Linked DNA regions of Alligator mississippiensis. The protein of the gene in region 4 purifies or fractionates together with the protein of the main gene of each other region. This does not show direct contact. Links are inferred from orthologs where the notes say so. Each region holds a gene or a part of one and is shown on either strand. Other genes may lie near its edges.

Region 1 (6,917 bases), on a different chromosome or scaffold from region 4:
CATCTGTTTTCTTCATGTAAAAAGCAAGCAGAGGAAAAATGTTTGTCAACTTTGCTGTTTTGCCTTACAAAGTGTCAAAAATGGGGAGATGGCCTTTCTACTTCTCCTTCTCCCATCTTTGCAGGTCATCTTAAACACCATTACTCATGTTCCCAATCATGTTGCAACCTTAGTGTCAACCTTGACTCCTCCTTCCTTCTGTTCCACCTTGCTAAGCATTTGACCCACTGTTTCTATCACTGAAGTTAGGAGGAAAACTCCAACTGAATTCAATGGAAGCAAGACCAGCTCTCTCATGTGTTATTTCTTATACAATATTACAAAAATTCAGCCTTTGCTCTTTGCTGCAACTATCAAAGCTTAAGCTCAAGACCTAGCAATCTCTTCCATTGACAGTAATGCCAACTGTCGCAAAACCATTCTGAGACTTGGAATATCAAAGTCAAAATAATTCCGACTTGCGATCTCCTGATCCAGCCCTCACCAGCTGGGAAAATCCAGACATTTAAGTGTAGGGAAAGGGGTGGGGGAGAGGGAAGGGACTGGGAGGAGATCGAGGCCCCCACGGTGAGGGAGGGAGTGGGGCAGAAGCAGGGGTAGGGGTGACTGGGACCCCGGGCAGGGGTGGGCTGTCCAGAGGTGCGGGGAAGAGGCACAGTTCACAGCAGCAATGCACATCCCTGGGGAATGCACGGGGGCATGTGTCCCCCACAGGGCAGAGACGGGCTGGGGCTCTGCACCCTGCTGCCTTGGCCCAGGAGCTCAGCCACACAACCCCAGTGCAGTCAGGGGACTGGAATGACAGCTGGAATGTCCATAGTATAGGTGCATATGGAGGACAGGGAAAAGAGAACTGAATGTTTGCCCTCCAGATGTTCTGAGCTGCCAGAGTGGCCTGCAGGTGACTGGGGGAAACTCAACAGTAGTTAGAGAAGGCTCAGGGCTGGTAGCCATACCCAAAAATAGAAGTGATGCAAATATGACTTCAAGCCTCGAAAGCTCATGTCTCCTGGGTCACAACTCTGCGGTTCTGAGCTGTGCTTCTCTAGACACTCTTTCCTTCATACACACTTGCATTTTCATATTACCATTAACATGAGGAACAGCTTCCTTTAAAGCATTTGTAAAATCTTACCTCTGCTTTCCATTGCTTCCTCCTTTGTTTCATGAATCTTGCTCCTCTTCAGTTCACGCAGCTCTCCCTGTATGCTTTTCTGAAACAAACGTGCCTTCAGACTGCAAGCTCTGTGGTCCAGGAACTTTCCGTTTTTTTCATGTTTTTATTATGGATTTTACTTGCTATAAAAGCTGTATCCATTGGCAGTGCTACATAAATAATTACTAATGCAGATTCTAAGAAAGTTTCTGAATATCAGAATTTACAAAGCTTTCCTCTTTTGGTGCTCTCATACTTTCTTTGATACTCTCACAGATTTTTTTCTTCATTTTTTTTCCATGTGGTAGGAATACCATTCAAAATTCCTGGAAAGAGAAGTGTTACTATTATACTTTAAGGAATGACTTCAACTGACAAATAAAAGAATAGCCATTTATATGTTACATGTAATAATCTCCCTACAGTTCCTAAGCATAATGGCACATAACATAATTAGTTTACTGATACATCCCTCTCAGCCCTCCAGTTTCTAAATGCACCCAAATACCCCGAGGATTGTCTCAAATCTAAATTAATGCTTGGCGACTTCAATTGCATTTATCTGTAACTACTATTCATTTTCTTCAGTTAGGTATTTTTCTGTTCAATGTAAATCATCACCATTACTTAGGAGCATCTGCTCAGAACAGGTAGCTGCCATAGAGGTTATTCTTCTACCACAATCCTCTCTGATAGCCAATCTAATGTAAAGTTGTTGTTTTTTTCTTTTAGGGGTGAGGGGAAAGACTGTGTGAATAGTAATACTGTATTAAATGTGTTGCAGACAGCAAACCACTACTAAGATTGTAATTGGCTGTAAAAGGAAAACCAAAATTTTAACCAGCTAGAGCCAAGTTAGGAAAATAATAGCATCTGTTGTATTGCAATATCAGCAAGTAATAGCCAAAATGGGATCGAGTATAAGAGTAAGAGAAAAAAAAAAAAAAAGAGGGAAAACGTAAATGTCATAAAGCTTCTGTAGATCTGTTTTTCTTCTTACATACACTTAAGTGGACGTGAAGTTTCATAGATTTCATAGACATTATGGCTGGAAAGGACCTTGGAAGATCGAGTCCAGCCCCGGCCCGTTAGCTGTTTGCATCTAACTGATCTTGACTGATCTACATTTATCATAAATACTGTTCATCGTATTTCCTTATAGTGCACTATAAGGGGTTTTTATAAACACGTACTCTTGCAAAGCAAACTAAAGTTATGTAAAAGTCAAAACACTATTTTACTTTGTTTAAAAGTTGCAAAAGCATCGCCAGGTTGCACGATTGAGACCAACTCAACCTCACCTTTCTAGAAGCCCAACAGCAGTAAACAGCATGAACAAATTTGTTGGTACAAATAAGTCCTGTGTGTTTTCGTTCAGTTATAAAGGAAATACTTTTAATGACTTACTATTTCTTATGTTCACTAAAGTGAATTTACTGCGAAAATGCATGTTTAAATTCTGGAATGATTTGCAGTCATTGACAGAGTAACTGCTAATATCTAAATTAAAAAAAAAAGTCTTAACCAAGGTAAAGTTTGTAGTATTTACTACCTATCTCAACATGAACATAACTCTTTGTGCAAAGCTTCCTCTCTTCCTCTCCTTCCCTGTCCTTTATATTGAAATGGCTTTATTCCTTTTCATTTAGTACCCCACGTCTTTTAAAAGTCCGTCCATAGCATCTGACAAAGTCGGCTGCGTCCTACGAAAGCTCGCGCCTCCTTGAACGAGTCAGGAACCACCTCGCCCCACGTCAGCATTTGCAAAATTGGAGGCATTTAAAAAAAATACGGGACCTAACACTCGTGAAGCACAAGTAACTTCCGGCAAGCGTTTCTACGTTTTCAACGACGATTCGAAGAACTTGTCGGGTCGCTCCCTTGGGGTCCGAGGGCTTCAGGAAACTGACATCCCCCGCCACGTGGTGCGCGGGACAGACCAAGCTGTTCTGCCTTGTGAAAGCGTGCCAGCACTTTGAAACGAATGGAGGCCTTTCGTCCCTTGTGACCTGGCCTGTAGCTTTGGGCCCCAGTGCTGAGGGAGGGCGGGCCGGCCGGCCGGCCAGGCGCTACAGCTCTGAAATAACACCCTATCCTTGTGGCCCTACAAGGACTCTTGACTGTCCCTCCTCCCTCACGCCTCGTGAGGGACGAGGCACAGCCGGGCTCCCCACGTGCTGCGCGCTGGGCCCCCAGCCCGGGCCCTCGAGCGGGGAGCGGGTGTGAGGGCGGCCCCACCCCCCGCCTGCGCGCGCACACCAGCGCCCCCCCCCTCCTCCGCACACCAGCGCCCCGGCACGAGAGTGCGCGCTCCGCCGGGGTCACGTGGGGCGTCACGTGGCCCGTGTGCGCCGGACTCGTGCTCCCGCCCCGGAGCGAGGGGCCCCTCTGGGCAGGATGTAGTCCCGGCCGCGGCGGAGGGATAAGCGCGAGGCGCCAACTCCCTCTCCGGCCCAAGCCGCAGGGCGCGGCGCCTCCTAGCGGAGCCGGGGCAGATCCCGCCGCCCCTCTCTCGCGAGAATCCCCCTGCCTTCCCCCTCACTACCTCCGGCGGGGTTATGTAACCCGCTCCCCCACCCCACCCCGGCCTTAAAGGGCCCGCGCCGCGGGGAGGGGATGGGGCCCGCGCGGGCCGCGCTCCATCGGGGCTCGGGCCCCCTCCCCCCCGGGGCGCGGCCCCCTCCCCTCCCGCCGGACAATGAGTCCCGTATGCTAATGAGAGTCTCGCGTCACTTCCGCTCTTTCTCGGCCGCCATCTTGGCCAGGGCAGGTTCTGGGCAGGAGGGACCCGGCTGTATTGTCTGCAGGGCGCCCGGGACCCCCGCCCCCGCCCGACACCCCCGCCCGGGGCCGCCGCCCGCTGCCCGCCCGCCCGCCGCCCCCCCAGACACGCGCCTCCCGCCCGCCCGCCGCCCCCTTTGTCTCCCCCGCGCCGCCGGCTCCTCTCCGCTCCGCTCCGCTCCGCCCGCCCAGGGACCCGGGCGGCGCCAGGGAGGCAGCGCCGCGCACCCCCGCCCCCCGCCGCGGTGCTGCTGCCGCGCCCGCCCCGCGCCGCCGAGGAGCGCCCCAGCCAGGTAGGTGCGCGCGGGTCCGAGCCCACCCCCCCCCCCCTCCGCACACATGTTGCAAAGACTTCCCTGCCCGGGCCCGCGTGGAGGTGCCCCGAGTGCGGCGTGAATGGCCGGGGCTGCGGCGGCGGCGGCGGCGGGGTGGGCTCGGCGGCCGGGCCGGGCGCGGGAGGGAGGGAGGGAGGCCGGACAGCGCTGCAATGAATGGAGCCGGGGCTGCCTGCTGGAAAAGGCGCGATTCATGGCCGGTGCCTGGAGATGGAGTAACGTTCAGCCAGCCACCCCCTCCATCCCGGGCTGCACCTCCTGCAGCCCATTGCTCAGACAAAGGCAGGGGAAATAAAGCCCCGCGATGCTGCTTTCTGTCTCTGCCACTGCAGGGTCTCCCCCATGCCCCCCTTCAGATTGCCTCAGGTGATGCTTGCAGGCGCCGTGGCTTTGCAAGAATAAATGCACCTAAGTGTGTGGTCCCTTTTTTTCTTTTTTCTCTCTTTTCTCCCCCCCCCCCTGTTTCTTTGCATTCAATCTGTATTGTTGCTTCTGGTATCTGGCCATGGAAGAAAAATACCAGCCCCCACCCAAAATGCACCGCAGCCAAGTCGGTGGCGAGGAGAGATGAGGGTTGGAGTCAGTAGGGGGCGCGTTCTCTACACCGGGTAAGGCTGCTGCAGAGAGGGGGAAGGGCCCCAGATGCACAGAGAGGAGCTGCCACACAGCGCCTTCTACAGACCTGGGAAAACGGGCCTGGCCCTGAACGCTCAGTTGCTCTTATGAGCTGACAACAGCCTGGCGCAGGGTTTAGCAAGTGGAGCAGTGATTTAAAAAATCTGATCACTTCATTTATTTGTTTTCTTTTTTTGAAATTGCAGCTGCCAAAGCGTGTTCTTGGCATCACACCTGAGTTTCCCTTGCCATCCTTGGTACTGCTTCCTACTTAATACTTTCATTCAGTTCGTAGGGGTGCGTTGACTCTGCCCACTTGACTCAACTGTTAGCACTCCTGAAGTTGACAAAATACTTGTATTCAGAACTTGTACAGATGAAATGGGGAATTTGAGAGAACAAGAGCATGTGCAGGATTTCTGCCTCTTTACCAGGCTTGCGTACTGAACTCCATCGAGAATGTAGTAATTGTATAAAAACTTGATCGTGGCTTGTGGTGCCATCTGCTTTATAAACTTTGCATGGCTTTTTCACACATTCTGAATGCATGGCAGTAGCGATGTAGAAACTTTAACAATATGGTGTGTTACTCGAGCGCTGAATGCTTTATCTGTAGACCGACTAGGCAACATGCTGGTTGGACTCTTGGAATTCACTAAAGTTTTGATTCCCCCCCCCCCCCCCCCAACTTGGTAATTTAAACTTTTTGACAAAGGCATAAGAAAGAGGTTTTGAATATTTTAAGGGAAACTATGACACATGATGCTTCTGCCAGCCTCTCACTTTCAACTGAATATTGAGTATTTTGTTTTTTGTAGAGGAAAATATGCACTTGAGGAAAAAGGATGAGACGTTGTCGCCACATGTGCAACAGAGCATGACCTATGTTATTCAGTAAGAATAAATTTACCTGGCTGCTTGGTAGCAGTAACCTGTATTACGTGCAGGCAGCTTGCATTCAGTTTCCTGTTCCTGGGTCTCAGCTGAACCATCTGGAAAAACTCAACTTTCACTCCAGGAGGATTGTAATAGTAACAGCCAAGAGGATTCACTGGCAGTTACCTTCCTTCCAGATGAGGAAAATGGGCCATCTCCTCAAAATTGGTTATCACTTTTAATGCAAAACAAAAAGATCAATTAATGATCTGCACTATTCTCGATATATATTTACAGATGTTAGACAGTGATTTGGTATTAACATCAGTGTAGTGAAGTCTCAGAGTATTAAAAGAAATGACAGATGAGAAATATACTCTGTTGCTACTAAAAATTGCCACTTGAGGCTGATTCATTGTAACATGGTTGTTAAATCTTTGTTGAAGATGCTTTTAGTGCACACTAAGATAAACCTCAATCAGAACAGAAAAGGTGTTATTTTTGATGCACAGTTAACATATATCTATACTTGAATATTAAGTAGAATGTTAAAATGTGCAAAGAAAACTGACAGTTGGCTTTTATTAGACATACAGGTTATGAATATAATATAGTACTCGGTGTTTTGGTGGGTTTTTTGGTGAGAGTTTTGCTACTTCAGATTTACTTTGGAAAGTGCGTGCAGTACAGAGGTAAAATATAGCAGGTCATGAGTTCAGAACTAAAATTGCTAGGAAGATTCTGTAATCTTCAGTGAGAGACTAAGAAGCTTCTCAGTATGTGTAATACACAGTACCATTTATCAGAAGATGTCCCTTGGCATTTCTGAATTTGGTATTAACTATTTCCAAGGATGCCTTAAAACACTTTAAGCAAACAAATAATTGAAGGAACTTCAGCTAAACAATTTGTTAACTATGTACTTTCTGAAGTGGACTCTCTGGGTTATGAATTGGCTCTTAAATTAGAAATTCAGTCAGCTTTAACCCTTCTAAATAAGTGCTGGTATAAGCCTACTTGATAAGGTAAGTTGTGCTTCCCATCATGCTAGCCTGGATAATGGATAGTTGTTCCCTCCAGTTTTAGCTTTCCATAGTAATTGAAAATATTGAAACTGACTATTAAAAGGTCTATAAAGCAGTGTTTCTGAAATG
Region 2 (7,195 bases), on a different chromosome or scaffold from region 4:
CTGCCTCCCTAGAGATCCCAGGTGTCCGGGCTCTCACCCCCCAGCCCCACTCCCCTCCCCTCCCCTCCCAGAGAACCCAGGCATCCAGGCTTTCAGCCCTCCTCTGACCCACCTCGGGGCTGCCCCTACCTGTCATTCCCAAAGTGCAGGACCTGGTGCCCAAAGCTGGGGCCGACATCAGGAGCCAGGACAACTGGGTGGGCCGTGTCGAGGTTGTACCCAAGGGTGGGGGCCGGACCTAGGGGGATACAGAGCAGAGGCAGAGATCCTTGTTATACCCAAGGCACAGTGCCCACCCCAGAGCCAGCTGCAGCTACATTATACCCAACCCACGATGCCCACCCCAGAGCTGGCTGCAGCTCCATTGCACTTGGAGCCCGGTGCCCACCCCAAAGCCACAGCTCCACAACACCCAGCACCCATCAAAGAGCCAACCACAGCTCTCTGACACCTGGCCCCTGCTGCCTACCCCACAGCCAGCTGCAGCTTCATTTTACCCGGCCCATGACACCCACCCCAGAGCCAGCTGCAGCTCTGCTACACCCAGCCTCCAGCACCTACCCCAGAGCCAGCCACAGCTCCGTTATACTCAGCCCCTGACACTCCCCAACTCAGAGTCGGACGCAGCTCTGTTATACTCAGCCACTGCCACTCCCCACCCCAGAGCTGGCCACAGCTGTTACACTCAGCCACTGCCACTCCCCACCCCAGAGCTGGCCACAGCTCCGTTACACTCAGCCACTGCCGCTCCCCACCCCAGAGCTGGCTGCATCTCAGCCCCAGGCACGATGCTCTGTATACCTAGCTACTGGCACAACCACTGCGATTGTTACTGAGCTAGGGATGGGGTGTTATCCTCATCCTGTGCCCCCCCCTTCCCTCCCCCAGCTGTTCTAACCAACCCCCAATAACGAGCAAAACAGGAACCGGTGGCAGTGTCGAAAGCCTGAGGTCAAGCCCAGTGGCCTGGAGATGTCCTCCAGACCCTGCCTCCGCCTTGCTGGAAGACCTGGGCTGTGGTTGATCCCTTTAAACCGGTCTCAGATCCACATTTGGTTTTCGGTGCGGGGGGGGCAATCACTGCAATCTCAGGCGGAGCTGGGGAAGGAACCCAGGCATCCGGGTGTCTCCTCTGCCCCATCCCCGCCCCGAGATAGGGCGGCCCACACCCAAGAGCGCAGTCCGGTGGGTTACAGCGGAGGGACCCGACTACCCGCTTCGCTCGGAGAACCCAGGGGTCCAGCCCCCCCCAGTGAACGCAGGCGTCCGGGCTCCCAGCACCCTCCCCACCCCCCTCAACCTCCATAAAGCAAACGAGAGACACTTATTTTTCCGCTGCATCTTACATGTGTAAACCACAACTGCACAGGAAGTCACTGTTCTGGCCCACACGTTTGCAAGATTAAGGTGATTGCATATGTGCACGCTTGTGTGCATACACGTGTGCCCCCGGGCGCCTGGGTCCTGCAGACATCTACCATAACCGCCTGCCACCTGCCCTGCTGCTAAACGTCAACCCGCCCCCACCTAAAACCCTGACCTAAAAATGTGGACCCCGCGTGCCTGGAGCTGCACGTTTTTAGCTTGCTGCTTTGCCTCCTGGTTTCCGAATGGGAACTGGTGAGGTTTGGTTTACCGAGGGGGTTACAAGAAATAATGGCCACAAGCTAGCAGAGAGCAGATTTAGATTGGACATTAGGAAGAACTTCTTCCCAGTTCGAGTGGCCAGGGTCTGGAATGGGCTCCCAAGGGAGGTGGTGCTCTCCCCTACCCTGGGGGTCTTCAAGAGGAGGTTAGATAACCATCTAGCTGGGGTCATCTAGACCCAGCACTCTTTCCTGCTTATGCAGGGGGTCGGACTTGATGGTCTATTGGGGTCCCTTCCGACCCCAACATCTATGAATCTATGAATCTATGAACATTTGGGGGGACTCCTGGCTTCTGCTCTCCCGACTGTGGGCTCCTTTTGGGTGAAAAAGGATAAAACGAGGGGGTTTGTCTGTCCCGGCTCGAAGCCTAAGGCCCGACGGGGCAAGAGGCAGCAGCATGACACCGAGGGAACCCGGGCGAGGGCCAAGGGGCCAGGCATGGCTGTCGCTAAAGGCCGAGGGTATTGGCCCAACCGTTGCTAAGGGCTGGTGGCACCGGTTGGGCCTATCACTAAGCGTCCAGGACCAGACAGTTGCTAAGGGCTGAGGGCACGGGCCCAGGTGTTGCTAAGGGCCGAGGGTGCTGGCCCACCAGCGCTAAGAACACAGGCCCAGGCGGTTGCTAAGGGCCGAGAGGCCGGGCACAGCTGTCACCGAGGGCCACCGGTTGTCTCCCCCCGGATGACTGGGATGGACCACCCTGGCCTTAGCATGGGGGCGGGCAATTATTTTGGGCCAGGGGGGCCGCTTTCTGAGTTTCGGCAAGCCATCGAGGGCCGCAGGACACAGCTAGGGGCAGATAAATATTCATTTTCTACACGTTTTAGGGGCTGGACAGAATGGCCTGGCGGGCCGCATCTGGCCTGCAGGCTGCATTTTGCCCACCCCTGCCTTAGCATCACCTTAGCGACTGCCACTAAGGGCCCAGGCATGGGACACCCGGCACGGGATGCCCCTAGCAACGGATGTGCCTGTCCCTGCCGACTGAGGACCCCCGGCTTCAGGCGCCCTAGCAACCGAGGGCCCCCAACCTGCCTGCGAGGGGCCAGGCCAAACCGCAGGCAGGTGTGCTCTCACGCCTGACGGCGACCACGATGACATGCAGCCCCGAGCGCGGCTCCGCTGCCCACAGCTGGGGCCATGCAGGTCTGGGTGTGGGTGGGCTCCTGCACCCCACCCAAGTCATGGGGCAATAAGCAGATTGGTATCTTGTCCTAGCTGCCCCCGTCCCCGACATCCCTGCTCTCACCTCCCAACTGCCCCCTTAACCCCCCACAACACCCTTTCCCCTCCCCAAACCACCCCCCGCAGCTGGCAGGATGCCCTCTCCCACCCCCGAAACACCGCAACCGCCCCCTCCAGCCCCCCGGTTCTTCATGCTGGCAGCCTCGGAGCCATGCGCACGGTGCCCCCGGCAGTGGCTTGTGCCCCCCTACCCCAAAAGCACGACCCACCTCTCTGGGCCCCCCCCAGCAAGAGCAGGCAGAGGGCGAGCGGCACGGCCATGGCGCGCTCGGGCTCCGAGCCGCCCGGAGCGCTGCAGGAGGCGGCCGCCCCGGTACCAGGAACCACACGGGGAAGTGGTGGAGCGGGTTTTGCACGCTGCTCGTTCCTGCGTGGGAGCCGGGGGGGGGAGCAGGGCAGCTTCCTTCCGTTCTCTCACCCCCGCTTCAGGTGGCGGGGGGGCAGGGGCAAGGGCAAAGGCAGGGATGTGTCCGGGGCTGTACGTACCCAGCATGGCACGCGGTCCATGGGGTCACGTGGGTTTTATAGGCACCAAGTCCCAGGGGTCAATACAGAGGGACGCAGATTGGGGTCCCCTGGGAGGGGAAAGGCCCCTGGGGCAGCTGGGAGGGCCGCGATGCGGCCAGCTCTGGGGTGGAGCAGGTGGGGAACGGCCGAGTTGAACGCTGCAGGAGGACAGCGCCCCGGGGCTGGTGCCTATGGATCAGGATGGGATCGGCCCCCGGAGAGGAAAGCCCCCTGTCCTGCCAATCCGTCTGTCTGTCCAGCAGCGCCGGTCCAGGATTTCCGTGATGACCGGTCGCTACGGTCACCTGGTCCTCGGTCCCTCCTAGGGCCTGGCGCTATGCTCTCTGCTGGACCACTGGGGTAAGGCCCCCAGGCCCTCTGCTCCCACCCCCAACCGCAACCCCAGGGGCCCACGAGTCTGGGGTCCAGGCCCCCCCACCCCGCCCCAGCCCTCCCCTAACCCCGCCCAGCCAACGCCTCGCCCTCACCTAAGATGGCGAACCGCAAATGAAGGCGCCTGCCCTTACCCAAGATGGCGCCGATCTGACTCGTCCCTTCTTGCCCTTCCCCGACATGGCGCCGCCCTGCCCACTCCCGAGATGGCGGCGCCGCCTCGGAGGCGGGGCCTCCGTCACGCTGCCGGTGCCCTTGGCCAACATGGCGGCGGCCCCTACCCGAACCCTGGAGCACGGCCCGCTCTGATTGGTCGAGGCGGCAGCAAGACGCCTGGCTACTGGCTGCCCGGGCTGGCGCCGCGTGGGGGAGGGGGGGCTGGGAGGGGACAACATGGGCAGGGACAGGGAGGGAAGGAGGCGGGGGCAGTAGAGTTCGAGCCGCCGGGCGGCGCAGAGCGGACCACAGCGGTGCGGGGGGGGGGCCAGGCAGGCAGGCAGGCAGGGAGGGGCGGGGGCAGTAGGGGATGGGGGGGCTTGGTGTGGGTGGGGGGCAGTGGGGGACCCCCGTGGGACGGGGCCAGTGAAGGGGTCCCTGGGGGGCAGTGGGGGAGCAGGCAGGAAGGGCTGGTAGAGGGGGGGGGGCTCTGGGAGCAGGGGGGTCTTTGGGAGGGGTCCCTGGGGGGCAGTGGGGGAGGCGGGGGGCAGGGGGCACCCCGAGGGTGGGGGGCGCGATGGGGGCGGGCGGCCGCGGGGCTGCACAATGCGGCCAGGCCTGGGGTGGAGAGCAACGAGGTGTGGCTGCTCTCCCCCAGGCAGGGACCACCCCCCCCCGGGAGGATGAGCAGGTGCCCGGGGGTCTTGGCGCACCCCTAAACCCCCAGCCGGGGCCGGGGGGGGCAGCTGACCCCGGGCCCGGCCATGGAGCCCCCCCTGGACCCCGACATCATCTCCGCCTCCGAGCGCCTGGCCCGGCGCCGCAGACTCGTCTACAGGTGGGGCTGGGGGCGGGTGAGAGCAGGGGCCTCGAAATGGGGCTTTTTTAGGCGTTCCCCCCCAGAAACCCCTTTGTTCTGCGTGATTCGGAGTGGTGGGGGCTGCTCTGTTGCACGCAGCGCCCGCTGTCCTCTCCTGCTGCCCCCCGCAGCGCGATGCCTCGCAGCCCTCCCTACACCACGTTGGATATGGATGGCTCTTACGTTTCCTAGCTCTTCTCCACCCCAGAACTGGTCGCATCTGAGTTTTTTTTCCCCCAGACAGTGTTATTTGCGGCCGCTTTTCCTCCTTTCTGCTGCACCCCAGACCTAGCTTCGTTCTCGATGTCTCTGGACAGTGTTGTATGCAGCTGTTTCTTCCCCCGCTTCTGCTCCATCCCGCAGTTGGCTACATCTGATCTCTCCTCCTTCGCGATCTATGTAGCTGATCCCTCTCTTTTCTGCTCCACCCCAGAGCTGGCTGCACCTGAGCTTCTTCTAGACAGCGTTATATGTGGCCAGCCCCTGTTTTTTCTGCTGCACCCCAGAGCTGGCTGCCCCGAGCCCTTCCTGATCATCTCCAGGCAGGATCGTCCCCCCAGATGCATCTTTGCCGCCCCTAGTCCAAAGTGAACAGCCCTGTGGCGTGACCCAAAGACCCCCCCTCCGATGCCCCTGGCCCTCCTCCAACTGGCTTTGGGGCAGGGGGCTGGCAAAGGGGGCACAAGCTGCTCTAACCATGCATCTCGCATACAATGCACCCTCAAGAATACCCAGCGGCTGCATTTCTGGAGAGAAGGGGTGCATTGTGATCAAAGACATACAGTAATTGAAGCTACTTTGGGTCAGATTGACCCCGAGAGCCCCCTGGCAGAGGAAGTGTACCCCCCCCCGCCCTGACTACAGGGGAAGGCAACCCGTCTTCTCCTCCCCCCCACCTCATTTAACCTTGGACTTGGGGGGTGCTTTGGGCCCGGGGGATTCTGTGGGGGTGCCTGGCCCCAGCTGTTTTGGGGCTCGGGCCCGGGATGGAGGGGGTGGGGGGGGATTGGTGGTCAGTGTCGCCCCGCCCTGAGCCCCTGTACCCCCCTGCAGGCGGCCCGCGGAGGAGCAGGCTGCGAGGCCAGGGGCCCAGGCAGGAGCCGCACTTTGGCAGGTGGCCTCCCCCCTGGAGCGGTCCCGGCGCCGGGTGCTGGCCGTCACCCTGGAGGAGTGTCCTGCCCCCCGTGCCCCCGTGAGCTGGGCTGGGGGGTGCCCTGGGGTTGGGGGGGAGGCAGGAGGGAGGTTATCTGAGTTGAGGGGCAGGGAGGGGGAACTTTGAGAGCTGGGGGGCCTGGTCTTCCCGAGTTGGGGGGCTGGGAGTGGGGTCTCCTGGGGCTGGGGGGGCAGGATAGGGGGTTTTCTGCATGTGGTGGGGGGCAGAAAGGGGGGGACAGGTGGTCTGGGAGGAGTCTTCCAGGGCTGGAGGAGTGGGTCCCCTGGGTGTGGGGGGTGCTGGACAGGGGTCTTCCAGAGCTGGAGGGGGCCTCCTGGGTGTGGAGAGCGCTGTCTCCCAGGGCTGCAGGGGGTCCCCAGGTGTGGGGGCCAGGGAAGGGGGTCTCCCAGAGCTGGGGCGGCCTTTTAACTCTGTACTTGTCTCTGTCCCTCCCAGGTGTGCCAAGGGGCATCATCCCCCTCCCTCCAGGAGCCCCCCACCACAGGAGATGGGACAGATGAGATGACAGGGCCCAGCCTACCAGTTGTGAGGGGGCGGAGCCCTGGGGCTAGCTCCTCCTCCTCCTCTTCCTCCGACCAATGGGAGTGCTGCCGGCAGCCAGGTAGGCGGGGAGGGGGTGTATGGTGGGAGGGGATAGTGGTGTCTGAGGGATGGGGTGGAGTCTCAGCGGGTGTGGCCCAAAGGTGGGGCCTCTGGGGGCGGAGCCTGTAGGGACCAGGGGGTGAAGCTTGCAAGGAGGGATTTCTGATTGGCAGGGCCTGTAGGGAGGAGGGATCTAGGGGGATGTGGGTGGGGTCTTTGGGGGCAGGGCCAATGGAGGGCTCTCCAGGGGGTGGGGCCCAGTGGGAGGGGGGGAGAGAGAGAGAGAGAGAGATCAGGATAGGGGGCGGGGCCTGGGGTGAGGGCGGAGTCTCTGAGAACCCCATGGAGGCATGCCATGTAGGGGAAGGGCAACCAGGGAGGATCCAGAGACAGGACCAGCAGGGGTGCAGCGCCATCTTGAGTAAGGGCAGGCACCTTCATTTGAGGCCTGCCATCTTAGCTGAGGGTGAGGCGATAGGATTTAAAGGGACAGCACGGAAGCATAGGGCCCCCCCACTTCCTTTGACCACGCCCCCTTCATGAACATGCAGTAGTCACCACGGATGGGTCTCTGGGGGCGTGGCGGGTGGGCTCAGGGGCGGAACTAACCTGCCCCCCCGTCTGCCCAGC
Region 3 (7,819 bases), on a different chromosome or scaffold from region 4:
GAACCTATTTTCATATGGATGTCTGTCCATAGTATTACAAAATTGGGTGGGAGGCCAGGAAAGGGAAAGACCATGAACTTTACCAGCAGCGTCGTCTGTAAAATGATCTCCAGCGTTTCGATGGAGTGTTGCAGCAGAAGTGAGATTGAATGTAAGCAGCCATTTTTACTGCCTGCTTTCCTGGCAGAAGACTATGATCATGAGCAGTATGGCTTTGCACTGCGCATCTACTGAAATGTCTCTGATTCCTACCCCATCTGTCTTTTTCCAGGTGTATAAAAACAGTAGCAACACCAACAAAACAAACTGTTGCTGTCATTAAAGTAATAAGCTTGATCTCTGTTCTTGAAGATGGAATATGCTTGATACATTCAGCACCCTTCTCGGGCAAAACTTTATTTGTACAGTAGGAGCTCTTACGTGCAGTAGTTGAATGAAGAAGGGAAGAGGTTTCAAAATGGAAATGCTGACTGCTAAGTTTACTATGTGTTAAAGCTGATGGATTTGGTACATTTGCACTGTGAGGGATACAATACCTTCTAAGTTACAAACCTGTCAGCCTATTAGAAAGTTAACCAGTTAGTTCTGGGTTACTGTATCAATGCAATGAACACTTGATTAAAACACAGGACCATTTCCTGAAAAGCTTGTATCTCACTACCTGTTGCCACTGTGTAGGTTTGTGTAACATCCTCTGTGCAGAGTCCCTTGGCATTTTTGCCCTTCAGACTGGCTTAAAAACAGCATTTAACTTTGTTGTAGTTTTGGCTTAAAATCTTTGAACAGACCCAGGTTTCAGATTGTGAGGTAGAACATGAGTCCAGGAGCCTGCTCAGTACATTTCAGACTGGGGCTTCTCGCCCTGCAAGGTGTTCAATGGGCATTTGGTGTCTCCAGCATTGGGAATTGAGGGGGATTCAGCACCTCGCAGGAACGTACCCCCCTAAAGATTCATTGAGGGAGGAAGGAGGCATTTTAATAACTTGTTGTGAAGCTGATGAGTAATTTTTAACAACAGGGGAAAAATATGAAAGCTCCTTTTGGAATCCTAATTTATTTTTATAGACGGTTTCTCTACCCCTTAAACTCTCCTGTTCACTATGTTTTTAAGATAGCCGAAAAGAGAAAAAGCAGCTTCGGTGCTGGGTAGGGTATGAAAACAGCAAGGGAGGCAAGGCAAAATCAAAAAAACTCCTGTATTTTGCTGGACCAAATATTGGTCATCTTCTGACAGTAGAAACATTTTCCCTTCCCTCCCACTTTTATTTCTTCTTTAAAAGAAGCTGTGAAAATGACACATGTAATGGTGTAATTAAGCAAAAGCCCTTAGGAACCATGTGTGCTTTGTTGAACAAAGGTTGTCGTTCTGCTGTCTTTTTCTCTCTTTAAAATGTGAGATCCTAAAAGGATATTCAAGCCTCGAATCTCAGAACAGGCCAGAGAGCCACGAGTTTAAAAATATCTGCTAGTTTTAAGGTCCTGGGCAGAACACATTTTTAAAAAGCAAAGTGATACAGTGTCCCTAGCAAGGCAACCCACACAAGATACAGTTTGATGATGACCTTGCTTGGGTTAATTTGAGAGAAGGGGGAAAGGAAACAAATCTTAATTGAATACAAATGGCTGGGTTTTTGGTGTTGTTTATGTGCTGGTTCATTCCACTAGCAACAAATCCTTAGGAAGTCCACCTCGGTCATCTTCATGACAGCCTTTCCTGGCAAAGGTGGGGAGGAGAGATCAATGCAACGTGATTCTACTTTTCTGAAGTCACCGAATAGTTAACTTGTGTAACCATCTTCTTCCCTGGAATGTCAGTTTTCTCTTTCCATCCGTGCCTGTGCGTGCGTGCACATGTGTGTCTGTGGGGATATTTGCGTGTGGGGTACAAAAGATGGCTCCTTTTAATGTCTTGCAGGATCTGTTTAAAAAGAGGTTGTATCTGTGCTCTCCCTGACTTCCATGAAATGGCTGCAGTTTCCACAACACTAAGACGGCTGAAAGGAAATGGTCTCCTCTCTGAGCATGCTTACTGTGGCACACGGACCTGTAGAGGGAGCTAGGTCATGTGGCCAAAGCAGGACTGTTGTTCATGTGGACCAAGTAGGAAACAGAGCAAGAAGCACTGTAGCTTCCATCAAACAGTAAGCACCTTAAAACACGACTACAGCTTCGTCCTGGGCATTAAACAGTAACATGACAGCATTTGGGTCTGTCACGACACAGTTAAACTCAAGAGCTGCGAACAAGTTTGTTGTTCAACTTCACTCCTAGGTATCGTAACTGATTATCTCCATGCGATTTGCAGCTTTCCATGAAACGGTTTTAGTTCCAAAAGAAGAGATTTATTTTTTTTATTTTTTTGCTCCTGAAGCAGACATGATGCACATACCAGTGTCGCTTTAGGAGACTGGCCTTTGAATGGCAGTGTGGTGCAGCTAATGATGTGTGAGATTTTAAGGGCTGCTTAGGAGCTCATTTTTTCTCTTTGGACTTCATAAATGTAAAGAACTTGACCATAACCTCAATAACTAATGCACAAATCATGTTGGTCCTTTTGTACAGTGTCACTGTGACACTGTGAAATGTGCCTGGTAAGATGCTAATTGATTGTTTTGCTTGAGTTTTCAGTGAATTGTTGAAGTGTCCCCAATATGCTGTTTGAAAATGTGTCCGTCTGTAAGGCTTGGGAAAAGATGCTTTCAAAATGGAGGGGAGACTTGAAAAACAAATTGGCATCTGCATTAACTTCTGTTTTCCATGTATTTTTAACTTTAGCAGTGAAAACATTTCTAGCGTTGAGCTGCAGTAAGAAGTGCTGTCTTTGTGAGCCTACTGAAAGAATGAATACTGTAACATGGTTTGAGAGAAATTTTAGCTCTAAAAATGTTTTGACTATATTACCTCTTTTGCGTTTGCAGTTGTTATGAAATTCGTTGTATCCCCTTCCATATTTTTTGATGTTAGGTTTATAAATTCATGCTGCAAAGAGGGATAACAGTAGACAGACCTATTTTAGGGCTGTCTTTGGTTAGAACTACAGTATTCCTTTTGTTGCAGTGGATAATATACCTTTGTCTGTCTTGTCAGGTTTTGTTGTTTTTTGGGTGGTTGTCTTTTGCGTTTTTCCTTTTTTATATTAAAGAGGTTACCGTTACATTTCCAGTGATTGAAATAAAGGCCAGAAAAAAAATCCCATTGATATGCCTTGTAACTTAAAGCTATTTTAGAAAAACAACCCAGGAGTAAAGGTGATATCCTCACTTCCTTCTGTCACCTTAAGTTTCCTTGATCAATTTTATCCTCTCAATTTTGCCTGGCATGCTTTAACCATTTGGTAGTGAAACGTGTCTGAAGTGCTTGGAGAGAGGAAAAGAGCATCATTTTAGTAGATGCAGTGCTATGGAAGATTGCTGTTGCTGTTTTAACCATTACCACTTTGCAAATGTCTATGTGCAAGATGGTGAAGTAAATGCATGGGGTGGAGAAAATTGATATTGCTTGTTTCCAGTGTGTGATAATAGAAGATCATGACAGTCTCTTGCATTGCTAAATAAAGGGAAGAAGGGCAATCTTGTAGGATTCGCTTCACTGTGAAAACTAGAATTTAGTGTACTTGATTCTCGTGCATTGTCTAAAAGATGTAAAATTGGGCTTTTCAGCTTCTCACTGTGAATTTTCATGTGTTTTCTCCCTTTGTGCAGGCCAGGCTTTCCCTCTTCATCTCAGTTCATTGTGATGCAATATGTTGAACTAGTGGCTATTTTAATGTTGAGCCTTAAAGGGAAACTTCTTCCTCAGTCCTGCTTTGTGGGAGAATTGCATTTTTCCATGTTGAAGAACAAGCAGGAGGTACTTGACTCCATTTAAGAATTTCCCTTCTTTCTCTCTTCTCTTCCATCCTCCCTTCCCCCTTTCTTGTGGGAGGTGCTCCAGAAAATATTAAACATAAAGAAACCCACGTACGTTGGCATTGTGATAAATATGTCACTTTTTGCATTTGAATCCAGTCCAGCTGATCTCTGCTTACAGATGTTCCTGCGAGTTGCTCAGGCAGTTTTACTGGGAGCTATAGCAGATATGAGGGTTGCCAAGACTTTGTGCTTAATTGTGAAACGGAACAGAGACAAACTACTTGTGATTTTGAAGCTAAAATTTCTTCTTTTATCCTGCTAGCTGGGCCAGTTGTATCTTATGGTTCGACATAGGCTCAGCTCAGGAAAGTATTAGGTGCAGTACTTCTATCAGTTCATTCGCTTTTTTTTCTTTTTGATGATTATGTTTCTGATACGTTTTTAAGGTTGGTAACGTAAGCTCACATTGTATTATAAATCTCTGAAGTGAAAAATTGACGGCCCTTCAACTCAGCGGATCAAATCTCAAATTCACTTTCAGTTGGACACTGTACATTTGCTGATTGACCCACGTGCATTTATCCCAGCATTCAAAAGGCGCACAGTTTTATTAAGCAGAATATAATTAGCACATGCGCCCTCAAATGTAAATGCTAATAGGCAGCATCTCTTTTTCATAGGCAAGGAAGGGCTACTCTTGAAGGCCACTGTAACAGAACACATTGTTGCATGGTTTTTAAGGGGGGTTTTCAGGCTATGATCAGTCTTAGGCTTGGCATTGTGTCAGAATGTTGACAGATTATCTTTATTAACTGTGTATTGTACCAGGACAGACGCTGTATCCCTCTGATGCCTTAGATAACAGTTGCTCCAATGGAAGCCCTTAAGTCTGCAGGTTCTCTGTGAAATGGCTGCAGCTTGGAGTGAACAGTGAAATGGTCTCCACTGGGCATGCTCACTCTGTAGAGGGAGCTTTTATCACATGAGCAGAAACTGAATCACTGTTCATGAGGATCTGGAATATGCAACTCTTTGAGTCTTCATCAAAAGAAGACAACAGATGTCTGCAGGTACAGTAACTTGTAGTGTCCATGCTCCATATGTCATAAATAGCAGATTCCCTCAGGTTGTGTCCGCAGACAGACTATTGTCAGGTAGAAAAGGAGAAACCTTTGAGAGGAGGAAGACAGTTAAGATAATCATGGCTGGATTTTGTATTTATTTTGTTGTCCTATGCAAGAAAGAACAGCACAGCAGAAATGTGTGTATTGCCTAGTGAGACAGCAGCGTGCAGGATGGGGTGTGGGCTTTCTTTCAAAGGAGGAGATTTAGAGAGTGGCCAGGGCAGGCGCATGCTTTGCAGACTTTCTGGCTGCTGTGATGACTGTTTTGTTCAGTAAACTTGTACACAGTTCTGAGTCTTAAATGATATGTGTCTGTCTAAGGAAGCTGGCACTCCGATTCTACAAATCCAGTGAGTGTCTACCTTGTCTTTTTGTTTGGAGGGGTGTTCCTGTTTAGCATGGAGTCTCTTTCAAGTGTTTGGTTCTACCTAGGGCTCCCCCTGCCCCTCTTTTCCATTTCATATTGGAGAAGGGGGGGTCTTTAAACTCTGGGAAGACCAAGCTTTCAAAGACAAGAGAGGGCCTGCAGAAGCATTTCACCTGCTTGCTAGAAACAGTTTGACAGCCTTGGCTGATGCCAAGCAAGCCTACAGTTCAGTTTTTGGGATGGCAGGAGGGCAAAGGTAGCCATTTATTCGGAGAGGAGAATCCTTTCTTCATTAGCCTGTCATCCAGACGAGGGACTGAGTGAACCATTGGGATTTTCTTTTATTTCATGGCAAAAGCTGCCTGCTGGCAGGCTATTTAAAATGTTGCTTAAAACTGTCACATCTCACTCTGCCATGTTGCTTTCCTGTTTACATTCTATGTTAACAGCCTCCTGGTCCTGTCTGTGATCGACAGAAATAAAGACCTTCTGAGCTAGGGTGTGTACTTCAGTCTTGACCTTCACTGTTGTCCCTTGATTATTGCAGAGCTGCCAGAACTGTGGGTGATGCTACCACCCCCTGCTGGCCTGAAAAATTTAGGCTGGAGTCTCACAGTTGTTGGTTTTAGAGAAAGCTTTTACTGTTACTTTAATAGATATTAATTTTTTATCTACGGGGAAGAAGCAAAAATGCCATCAGAAAGTAAGGGGAACGATGAGAAAAATGTCTGCCTGCTGGACTGCAAATGCTATCATGAATGTTGTCTTGCGAGTGCAGGTTGAAAGCATGTATATCAAAAATGACGGTGAAGAAACAAACAGGGTTTCTTTTAAAAACTATTGAGAAAAAGCAAATTCCTTGTCTGAAATCTTAAGCTGTAAGTTCCTTTCCAGAAACCTTGAGGTTTGAGTTGCAAATGGGCTTGTAATAAAGATGCTGAGGCAACAGAGATTACCACTGGGGCAGACATGTGTCCGTATGATATCATGACTGTAGCGCTATCAGCACGATAGACTATTCCTAAGCATTTTGAGCAGTCCAGGCATACAGACTGACCCCTGGTAAATGCCTTCAAAAGATGCTACCGTCCATCTTTATATATAGCTTTAAAATTCTGGGTCTGTCTTCAGCAGCATAGGGGTTAATAGCCATAACCTTGTGTGTTCAGGTCTTCATTTGTCCCTGTTATTTGAAACTAACCATTATGCTTCTTTTGTGTAGTCATAATGCATATGGCCTACAGTAGCCCTTCAAAAGACATGGAAATTTACTAGCCCAGATGCAATCTATTTGACTGTCCCTGTCACCGTTATACTAGGAGGACTGGGGAAGAGGGGTAAATTACTCTCAATATTTTTTTGATTGTCCCCAAACCAATGGGTAGGTCGAATTTTTCTAGTCTGATCTGTTTGCATTTCTGTACTGTTCTGTGGAAAACGCACAAAAATGTAATGCTGTTTGGTTAGATGTGGAATTCGGGATGTGCTGGAGGATTCAGCTGAATTTATTTATTTTTTAAAAATTTTTTTAGGGCATTCAGGCAACTGATTTGCAGAGGTGCTCAGTACCTGCAGCTCTTGTTGCCTTTATCTTCAGTTGAATGCTCAGCATCTTTCAGAATCATGCCCTCCATAATCAAGACTTGTCTGCTGACATTGTCACCCGAGGGTGGTCAGTGCCCTTAACTCTTCATTGAGCCAAGGGCAGTCCTCATCTTGCAGGATCAGGCTGGTTCTGCGTCTGGATATCATATGGAACACGAGCATTCGGGCTGGTTGTATTGCAGTGCTCATTTATTTCCTCTTCTCCCAGGATTTGAAACCTACCTAGTAACACTGGTATGCTGCAAGAATCCCAATGCCAGTGTGACCTTTCTTGTGTGGTACCATCTCCTAATGACAAAGGATCACATTCTTTTTGTACAATGGAAGGGAAATTTTTCATTCAGACGAATAAGGACATTTAGAGACCCTCTGCCCTCATGACCAGCAGGTTTGTGGGGTAGGAGGCAGATGGTACCTTTTTTTTTTTTATTGTTCCTGCTTTCCGCACCCCCCCTCCCTATACATTTCTTTCCTCCTGTTTCTGCTCCTGATACTTGGAAGGGTCAGACAATCAATTTGGAGACTTCTGTCAAACTGGAATGACAGAATAACCTTGCCTTTCACTTAAGGGCTAAATACTTGAAGTACTGAAAATCATATGCTAACTGCTGCAGTAGGCTTGAAGCTTGTGTTCTTCCTGTGCAATCTACCATCAGCAATTTAGAGACAAATCTCACATGTCACCCTTGCTACCTTTTTCAGAGCTTTTTTTTTTATTACTGAAAGTTTTTAGGGTTTTGAAATCAACTTCCCTTAATAGAGAAGAACCTGGAAGCTGTAACGTGATCTTCCCTTTATGTCCTGTTTCCGTCATTCTGGTATGAATTCAGCTCCCCCCCACCTCCTCCTCCCCTCCATGCTTTTTATTTGAA
Region 4 (7,391 bases):
TTGCTTTGTGCCTGGAAAAGAGCTCAGTGCACTGAAAATAATTTTCTGACAAAGATCAAAATAGATTTCTACTGATATTTCCCACTCTCACCTGACATCACCTTAAGACCTTAAAGTTGGGGTGAGGTTGGAATTCTTTATAAAGGATAAATAAAACACTGGAGGGAGAAGGGCCTTCATGTCAGCAATTAAACCAAAAATACACATGCCTCAACTGCTTGAAAAGAATTTAAACCCCAATAAAAGGCCACAAAGAAAGAGGCCCAGCACAAAAACGTATACAAAACTTGCTTTCGTGGGACAAGAATAGCAGATGCAGGAGCAAAAGCCAGAATCAACGACACTGCAGAACATGCATTATTGCAGTAACTCAGAGACAAAGAATCTGGGTGTTGGGCAAGAGGCGAAAATTCTTGTGGATGGTATCTTTTTGTGGACCAACTGCATGGTTGGGAGAGGCAAGCTTATAGATATGATAGTATCCTTCTTCAGGACTGTGGGAACACAGCAAAGCTACATAGTAGATGGAAAAAAAGCTTGTGCAAAACACCTTATGTAAATAAAACCAGGGTATAAGAGAAACGATCAGGTAACCAACAGGCAAGAGAGATACAGTAAAAGCCTGGTAACAGAAGAACAAGGTTGTTCAGAAGGGTCATTATCATTTGTAATGTGCAGAGAATCGAGTACATCATAATGGACCATGAAATCACTGTCTGTCAAGTGCCTGGTACTTAGTGTCCAATTGACTCATACATTTTTGTTCCTTGCCTTTCAAAGGTGTTTAGTGTTGGGTGAGATGTTCTGAAGGCTGTGCCCAGGTACTGTGAGAGTTGTAAAGCAAACAAGACCATCAGCAACCATTTCAGATGGAAATGGCAGTGCTGTTAGCAAGAGGGATATGCTCCCAAGAATCCTTTTAGAAAGTGCAATAATAGAGGGGGAAGGCTTGTTTGTAGAAGCTTTCATAGTTTAAACTGGTTTAAATGTAAACAGTTTAAAGAGAGAAGATTAGGTCAGCATAAGCAGGAAATATATGATGACCCAAAAAGATTATCTGACCTATTTAATATGAATACATTCAGTCCAAGTGCAGTCACTACATTTTACAGGTTTGCGACTTAAGTGCTACTTTCATGCTTTTAACTTGAAATACTTCCTACCGCCCTTCCTAATGTTGGCTAAAGTCCTACTCCTCTTTCAGGACTTTAAAAACATGGCATATGTATGTACCACTTGCCAGGAAAAAGCAGCAGGCATGTTTCTTTTGAACTGGGAAGAAGTGTATTAACATTTCCAGGCTCCAAAACCTGAAAAACTGCAGAAAGGCTTTTACTCAAACTTTCCAGAATTGCTAGCCTTTGAGCTGAAACTGTAGAAAGAAAGACGACCTTGGCTTCAAAGGGAATTTGAGTATGCATCCCCTCATCATCTTCAACTGCACTCACAACTTGAGAGAGAAACAAATCTCTGAAGCTTGGGAAAGTGTGCATAAAAAGGTAGAAATACTGCTTCTTTGCAGAGAAAAGCAAGAAGGAATTCAAAGACAGGAGTTCTCTTTAAGTTACGCTTTCTAGGTTCTACATGAAAGAGCAGCAGGCACACACAGAGGTACTCCTATACTTCCAGCTAATCAGGGAAATGCTGGCAGAGCCCAAGCACAGACTTGTGTTTTACTTTTTTAAATTAAAATAAATTTGGATCTGGAGACGCTACAGGGGAAACAGCGATTAAAGTGGTATGTATTTCCCAAGTACCCAGCACCTCCATGAGTGGAAGACATCTCCGCACCCATAAATATTCTTATTCCCCCTGTTTTAATGGTACTTTCTTCATTCAACGCTGTCGTTTTTAGTATTCAGCGGGGCAGGTCTGAATAGCAGTTTATTTTTCAGCCCCCTCTCCTCCCCACTACACTCCAATGCTCTTTTCCCTGTATTACCAGCACATCCAAGCTGCCTTCACTTGCCATGCCTACATTTCACTTGAGTAGACAGCGAGATTAAACCAGCCTAGTTCCGTTTCTCATCAGTTTCACTACCTGCATCTCCAACACAAACAGGAGGCTGGATTTGGGTAGGAGACCTAGCAGCGGCTGTTCAACCCCATCAGAAACATGCTGCACAGAAAGGCAGCAACACAAACAGTCCCAGAGATGGTTCTACGGTGATGCTCAGGCTTAGAAGCACTCCCCACCCCTCCCCTTTTTTTTTTGTTTTGTTTTTCCTCCTCTTTTGGTCCAAAAAGAATAAGCCCTGCTTTTGTGGGGTTTTTTCCTCCTTGGGAGCTGGAAGAGCAGAACAGCCCCTCGACCTGAATCCTGACTCCCTGGATCCCACAGTGGTGGCTACACGCCGGCTTGGCACCTCCAGCACAGTTCTGCCACCTGCAAGACCCCCAGATAGCATCACCCCCTCAGGAGTAGCTCCCATCTCTGCCATCCCTTACCCTCTCCCCCCAGGTTGGTTTTGCTGCAGCACCAGCCTCCAGCCCCGCCCCCCCAAGCACCACCTCACCCAGGCGCGCAGCCCGCCCTGCCCTCAGGCAGCTGCCCCCTCCCCCCTATCCCGGCGCAGCTCCAGCCCGCCCCTCCCCCGGGAAAGCCCCAGCTCCCCAAGGGCGGGGGGGCTGCTCCCCACATGCCCCCATTGCACGCAGCCCCCCCACTGCAGCTCTACCCCCCCGGAGGCACCGCTTCGTACTTGCCCCCCCATCCTACAGCATCGCCAACGCCCCCGCGTGCAGCCCCGCCCCTTCCCCCGCGGGGGCCGCGCCCCGCCCCTCCGGTGCTCTCCCCCCCCCGCGGCGCTCACCTTTCACAGCCCCGCCAACAGCACCCGAGGGGAAACGGCTCAGCGCGCGGGCAGGGCGCGGCGGGGCGGGACAGGGTCGGACCGGGCTGGGCAGGGCGGGTAACGCTCCGGTGCGCGCGGCACCGCAGGCCCGGCCGCTAGCAATCCGCCTCCGCCAAACAAAAGAGCCCCGCCAGCCCGAGTGCCCGCCGAGCGCACCGCGCATGCGCGCCAACCCCCCTTCCCTCAATCTCCGCTCCTGGCTCACGCGGCATGCTGGGAGGCCGAGTCCCACCGCCTCCCGCGCGCTTTCTACCTAGCGGCCTGCTGGGAGTTGTAGGCAGGGGCGGGGCTGACATGCCTGCGCGCGCCGAAGTGGACGCGGGGTGGGGGGGAGTTGCTGAGCTTTGCGGTAGCGGTGCTCATGCGTGGCGGGCTCCGCGTTGCTGTTTGCGTCCCGCCTTTAGTGAAGTCAGGTTGAGGCGGGGTGGGGAGTTCTCAATGAGCCAGCGCGGAGTAGGAGGGCGTAGTTGTATCCTAGGGAGCTTTGGAAATGCAGAACAGCATCAATGAAAATAACGACAGTAAGAATAACAAAGCAATGATGATGCTTGTCACTATAATGTTAGAGCAAAGCGCGGGAACACAGCCCCACAGACTGGAGAAGAAGCCCCCAGCTCCGTGCAGCCCCATGTCCTGCCTCTGCCACTGTCCTCAAGAGTGGTTCTCAACCTTTTTTGTACCAGGACCCATTTGTAAACATCGATGGCCAGTCCTGACCCAGTGCCCCTCACCGCCGACTCTCTGCCCCCCACCCCCAGACCCTCAGTGTGTGGGGCAGGGGGGCATAAGCAGCCCCTTGCAGGCTGGACCTTTGCCAGCCTGCCAGGGATTCCCGTTTTTCACCTTTAAAGGAGAACCCATTTTTAAAGTTCATGCCTGACCCTTTCATGTATTCTTGCAACCCACTTTTGGGCTGCAACCCACGGGTTGAGAAACGCTGCTTCAGAAGGAGCTGTAGGCAGTAGGGCAAGAAGGCAGGGATGGCAGAAGAGAGGGGGTTTCACCCCACCCCATTGTCTCAAAGGTGCCTTGCTAGAGCTTAGAGACTGACACAAGCCCTCAAACATATGGTGTAATGCCCTCTTCTCATTTTCTCTGTTGCTATTTATGTCACAGGGCATATTTGTGACCCCAAGCCTTCTTGAGGTGACTTGTTCAGCCATCTAACACATAGCATGAAAAGCATTTCCTGGCCGCTTGCTTTGAATTTTCTACCTCGTCATTCAACGTGTTATGAGACAGGGGAACAGAAGTTGTTGGTCGGCCTTATGCTTGAGAACCCTATGAAAAAGGTCTGCAAAAAGACTGCTGTGGTTCTTATATTTTCTTGAAATCTTACACCTCCTAGGAGCCTAACTCAATTTTAAAATGGTTGGGGCTGATGAACCATGCAATGACACACAGGTGATGCTACATAGGATAACGTGCTCCTACTCCACCTTAAAGCTCCATACCTTTAGGTTGTATTGTTCCATGATACCATAGACATAGACCAACATGCTATAATCACAGGGGTGGGCAATTATTTCAGCTGGAAAGCATCTTAATGGGCAAGATGTAGCCCTGCCCCTTGACAGATGCCCCACCCCCTGATCGCCATCTTGGGACCAGAAGTCCCACCCCTAACCCCTGACCTTTGCCACCTGAAGTCCCTCCCATTGCCCCAGAAGTACTCCTTTTGGGAGGGAAGGGGAGTTGCTATTGTGAAACTGAGGGGAAAAAAAATCATATACTTAAAAAAAAACAACCCAAAACCCCCCCCCAAACATCTGTTATAACATTTTAATTTTCATTAAAAAATATTTTGTCCCGATTTGTGTGTTTGCATAGTGTATCTAGAGGTGTGCGCCCACCTGACTTCGTGGAGCCTCTCCGATGCGGCTCTGGAGCACGCACTAGGGGCCTGCCACGCAAACGGCTCCTGCTGTCATGACATGGGGTCATGTTCTTCTCAGGGGACACCCCAGTACTTTCCTGCCACATTTTGGGTGTTTTGTTCAGTAAGGCTGTGCGAAGCTTCAGTTGCTGATTCGATTTGGCGGAGATTCCATTCAGATTCGGCCACCAAATTGGGCTGAATCAGAAGACACTTTAATCTCTCTGAATCAAATTGGAACCCTCCAAATCGAATCAGAGAGATTTGGAAAGATTCAGCAATTTGGACGTACACAGCTTTAAATGTTTTTTCTACATACTTCAAGGTACCAGGTGGCTCATAAACGCTGAGAAGCTGGGGCGCATAGAGTATTCCAAAGGAGCACGGGGCACTCCCCAGCGCGCTTGGCAGCAGACCTGGAAGTGGACCAGAAGCACATCCAGTCCACTTCCAGGTCCACTGGGAAGCACACTGGGTGTCCGCCCCCGCCCCGCAGCTCGGCAACTAGTGCCTCCTGGTTCTGGGGGGGCATCCAGGGTCCACCTGCGGTTGATTGAATACAAGGGCCCCTCCATGCTCCTGTGGGATGCTCCATCCACCCCAGCATCACAGCATTCACAAGCTGTACCTGGTACCTCGAGGTATGTAGAAAAAACCTTTAAAGCTGTGTCTGTGGCCGAATCGCTGATTCTCCAAATCAGCATCAAATCTTCAGATTCGGATTCAGCCAAATCGAATCGGGGACAGTGATCTGAATCAACGAATCAAATCACGGTCCCCCATTTGGGATGAACCTGAATCTAGTAGGGCCTGCTTTGCACAACCCTAATGTTCAGTAGTAGGGTTCCCTTCTGTCATGGGGAACGCACTGGGCGTCATCACTAGCAGGCGTTCCTGGGGCTCCACCTCCCCTACACCCCAGCCATGCACCAGCTCATCAGAACTGCTGAATGATGGGCAATTTGGCTTCAAATTGATGTGGTATCCCACTCCCTCTCTGCCTCTCCAGTCCCCAGTGTTTGCAACAGTCTTTCTTCCCACCACACAGGTTTGCCTGGGGCAGTGTGATGGCCTCGATGATGGGTCTAGTCTATCCACGTTCAGATCTTCTAAATGGCCCTGGCCCGCTCAACCCTCAGTGTCTGCCCTTTGGCCTTGTCTCTGGCCCCAGGGCTTCAAGGTAACTGAAATGTAACTAAAGAACCACAATTCCAGGGAAGGGTCTCTGGCCACACCCCGCTCACGCGTCCTATGTTTGCCGGCATCGCCATTTCTCAGTGTCCTCCTCTGGGCCAACTCCCTCGCTGTCCAGGATGATGTGGCCCTTTAAATCAGGCCTTGGACCCTCTTGCTGGGTCCCTCTCTGGCCCCTCCTTGTGTGCATCCAGGACCTCCATTCCAGTGGCGGGGGGGCGGGGGCGGGGGCAGTCCCACAACTACCTCCCTCCTGCATCCCCACCGCCGACTTGTATCCCTGCCGGGCAGTGTTCCTGGATGACATCATTGGGCCGCACCGGCCTCAGCTGCAGAGAAAAGCACCCCTCTGTGGCTCATCCAGTACAGCTGTGCCTGAGGGAGGCAAGTTTGCCCTTTTCTCAGGCCTTTTTTTCCCATTGTTGCAGTGGGTTGTCTCCACCACGACCCACGCCTGGGGGTTCTTATTGTCCCCTTGGGTCAAGGTGATTCCATAATAGTTCAAAATACAGCCTTACTCTTGTATATTGGGTGTGGGAGGTGTAGATATAGTGGGTAGGTGTGGGTGCAGGGTATGTGGTGGCGGAGGGTGTGGGGGCATGTTGGGGGAAGGAGGTGTGGGGGAGCATCCTTGGAGTGTGAGAGTCCCTTAAGCTGCAGGTGGTGGCAAGCCACCTGCCTGGCCCCATAACACGCAACTCCCACCCAAGTCGCTGGCTGCACATGTCGGCAGTGTGCGGAGCCAGCCCCACCCAGCCCAATAATGCTCCTGTGCAAGTCCCTGGCCACACATGGTGGCAGCATGCAGGGCCAGCCTAGCCCCATAACGTACAGCTCCTGCGCTCCCACCACGGTCCCCAGCTGTACATGGTAGCAGCAAGTGGGCTCAGCCCCACCCATCCCCATATGTGCTGCTGCAACATGTAGGGCCAGCCCCATCTTGCCCCATAGCACATCGCTCCCCACATAGTTTCATAGTAGGTAGGGTCAGAAGGGACCTGAGCAGATCATAGAATCATAGAAGTAGGGTCAGAAGGGACCTTGTAGATCTTCAAGTCTGACCCCCTGCCTGGGCAGGAAGAAAAATGGGCTCAAATGACCAGCCAGGTAGACATCAAGTCTCTTCTTAAAGACCCCCAGGGTAGGAGCCAGCACCACTTCCCTTGGAAGTTGGTTCCAGATCCTAGCTGCCCTAACTGTGAAGTAGTTCTTATGGCTGTCTAATCTAAACCTACTGTCCAACAGCTTGTGGCTGTTATTCCTTGTTATCCCAGGGGGCGCTAGGGGAAACAAGGTCTCCCCCAAACCCTTCTGGTCCCCCCTAGTGAGTTTATAGATGGTCACAAGGTCCCCCCTCTGCCTTCTCTTGTGAAGGCTGAACAGGTTCAGGTCCCATAGCCTCTCATTGTAGGGTCTGCCCTGCTCTCCCCAGATCATGCGGATGGCCCTCCTCTGGACCCTCTCAA

The links.
Region 1: the proteins of CBX1 (region 4) and ADNP purify together in Homo sapiens (affinity purification with mass spectrometry; 6 studies listed by BioGRID and IntAct, with this or other methods). This does not show direct contact. The link is inferred for Alligator mississippiensis from reciprocal best matches to the Homo sapiens genes CBX1 and ADNP.
Region 2: the proteins of CBX1 (region 4) and PRR14 purify together in Homo sapiens (affinity purification with mass spectrometry; 3 studies listed by BioGRID and IntAct, counting the BioPlex papers as one, with this or other methods). This does not show direct contact. The link is inferred for Alligator mississippiensis from reciprocal best matches to the Homo sapiens genes CBX1 and PRR14.
Region 3: the proteins of CBX1 (region 4) and EHMT1 purify together in Homo sapiens (affinity purification with mass spectrometry; 3 studies listed by BioGRID and IntAct, with this or other methods). This does not show direct contact. The link is inferred for Alligator mississippiensis from reciprocal best matches to the Homo sapiens genes CBX1 and EHMT1.

The regions. Positions count from the first base shown.
Region 1 is NC_081832.1:12,681,916-12,688,832, forward strand, and holds the start of ADNP (activity-dependent neuroprotector homeobox protein), read left to right. Parts: upstream 1-3,916; 5' UTR 3,917-4,230; intron 4,231-5,041; exon of another isoform or gene 5,042-5,224; intron 5,225-5,797; exon of another isoform or gene 5,798-5,998; intron 5,999-6,917.
Region 2 is NC_081830.1:1,289,284-1,296,478, reverse strand, and holds the start of PRR14 (proline-rich protein 14), read left to right. Parts: upstream 1-4,190; 5' UTR 4,191-4,264; intron 4,265-4,495; exon of another isoform or gene 4,496-4,608; 5' UTR 4,609-4,714; coding exon 4,715-4,788; intron 4,789-5,862; coding exon 5,863-6,001; intron 6,002-6,418; coding exon 6,419-6,584; intron 6,585-7,195. Other genes in the region: ITGAL (integrin alpha-L), read right to left, coding at 130-238, 3,104-3,155. UniProt on the Homo sapiens protein: Functions in tethering peripheral heterochromatin to the nuclear lamina during interphase, possibly through the interaction with heterochromatin protein CBX5/HP1 alpha. Might play a role in reattaching heterochromatin to the nuclear lamina at mitotic exit.
Region 3 is NC_081835.1:51,863,406-51,871,224, forward strand, and holds the start of EHMT1 (histone-lysine N-methyltransferase EHMT1), read left to right. Parts: upstream 1-4,819; 5' UTR 4,820-4,858; coding exon 4,859-4,921; intron 4,922-7,819. UniProt on the Homo sapiens protein: Histone methyltransferase that specifically mono- and dimethylates 'Lys-9' of histone H3 (H3K9me1 and H3K9me2, respectively) in euchromatin.
Region 4 is NC_081827.1:167,748,316-167,755,706, forward strand, and holds the start of CBX1 (chromobox protein homolog 1), read right to left. Parts: upstream 3,012-7,391; 5' UTR 2,814-3,011; intron 1-2,813. UniProt on the Homo sapiens protein: Component of heterochromatin. Recognizes and binds histone H3 tails methylated at 'Lys-9', leading to epigenetic repression. Interaction with lamin B receptor (LBR) can contribute to the association of the heterochromatin with the inner nuclear membrane.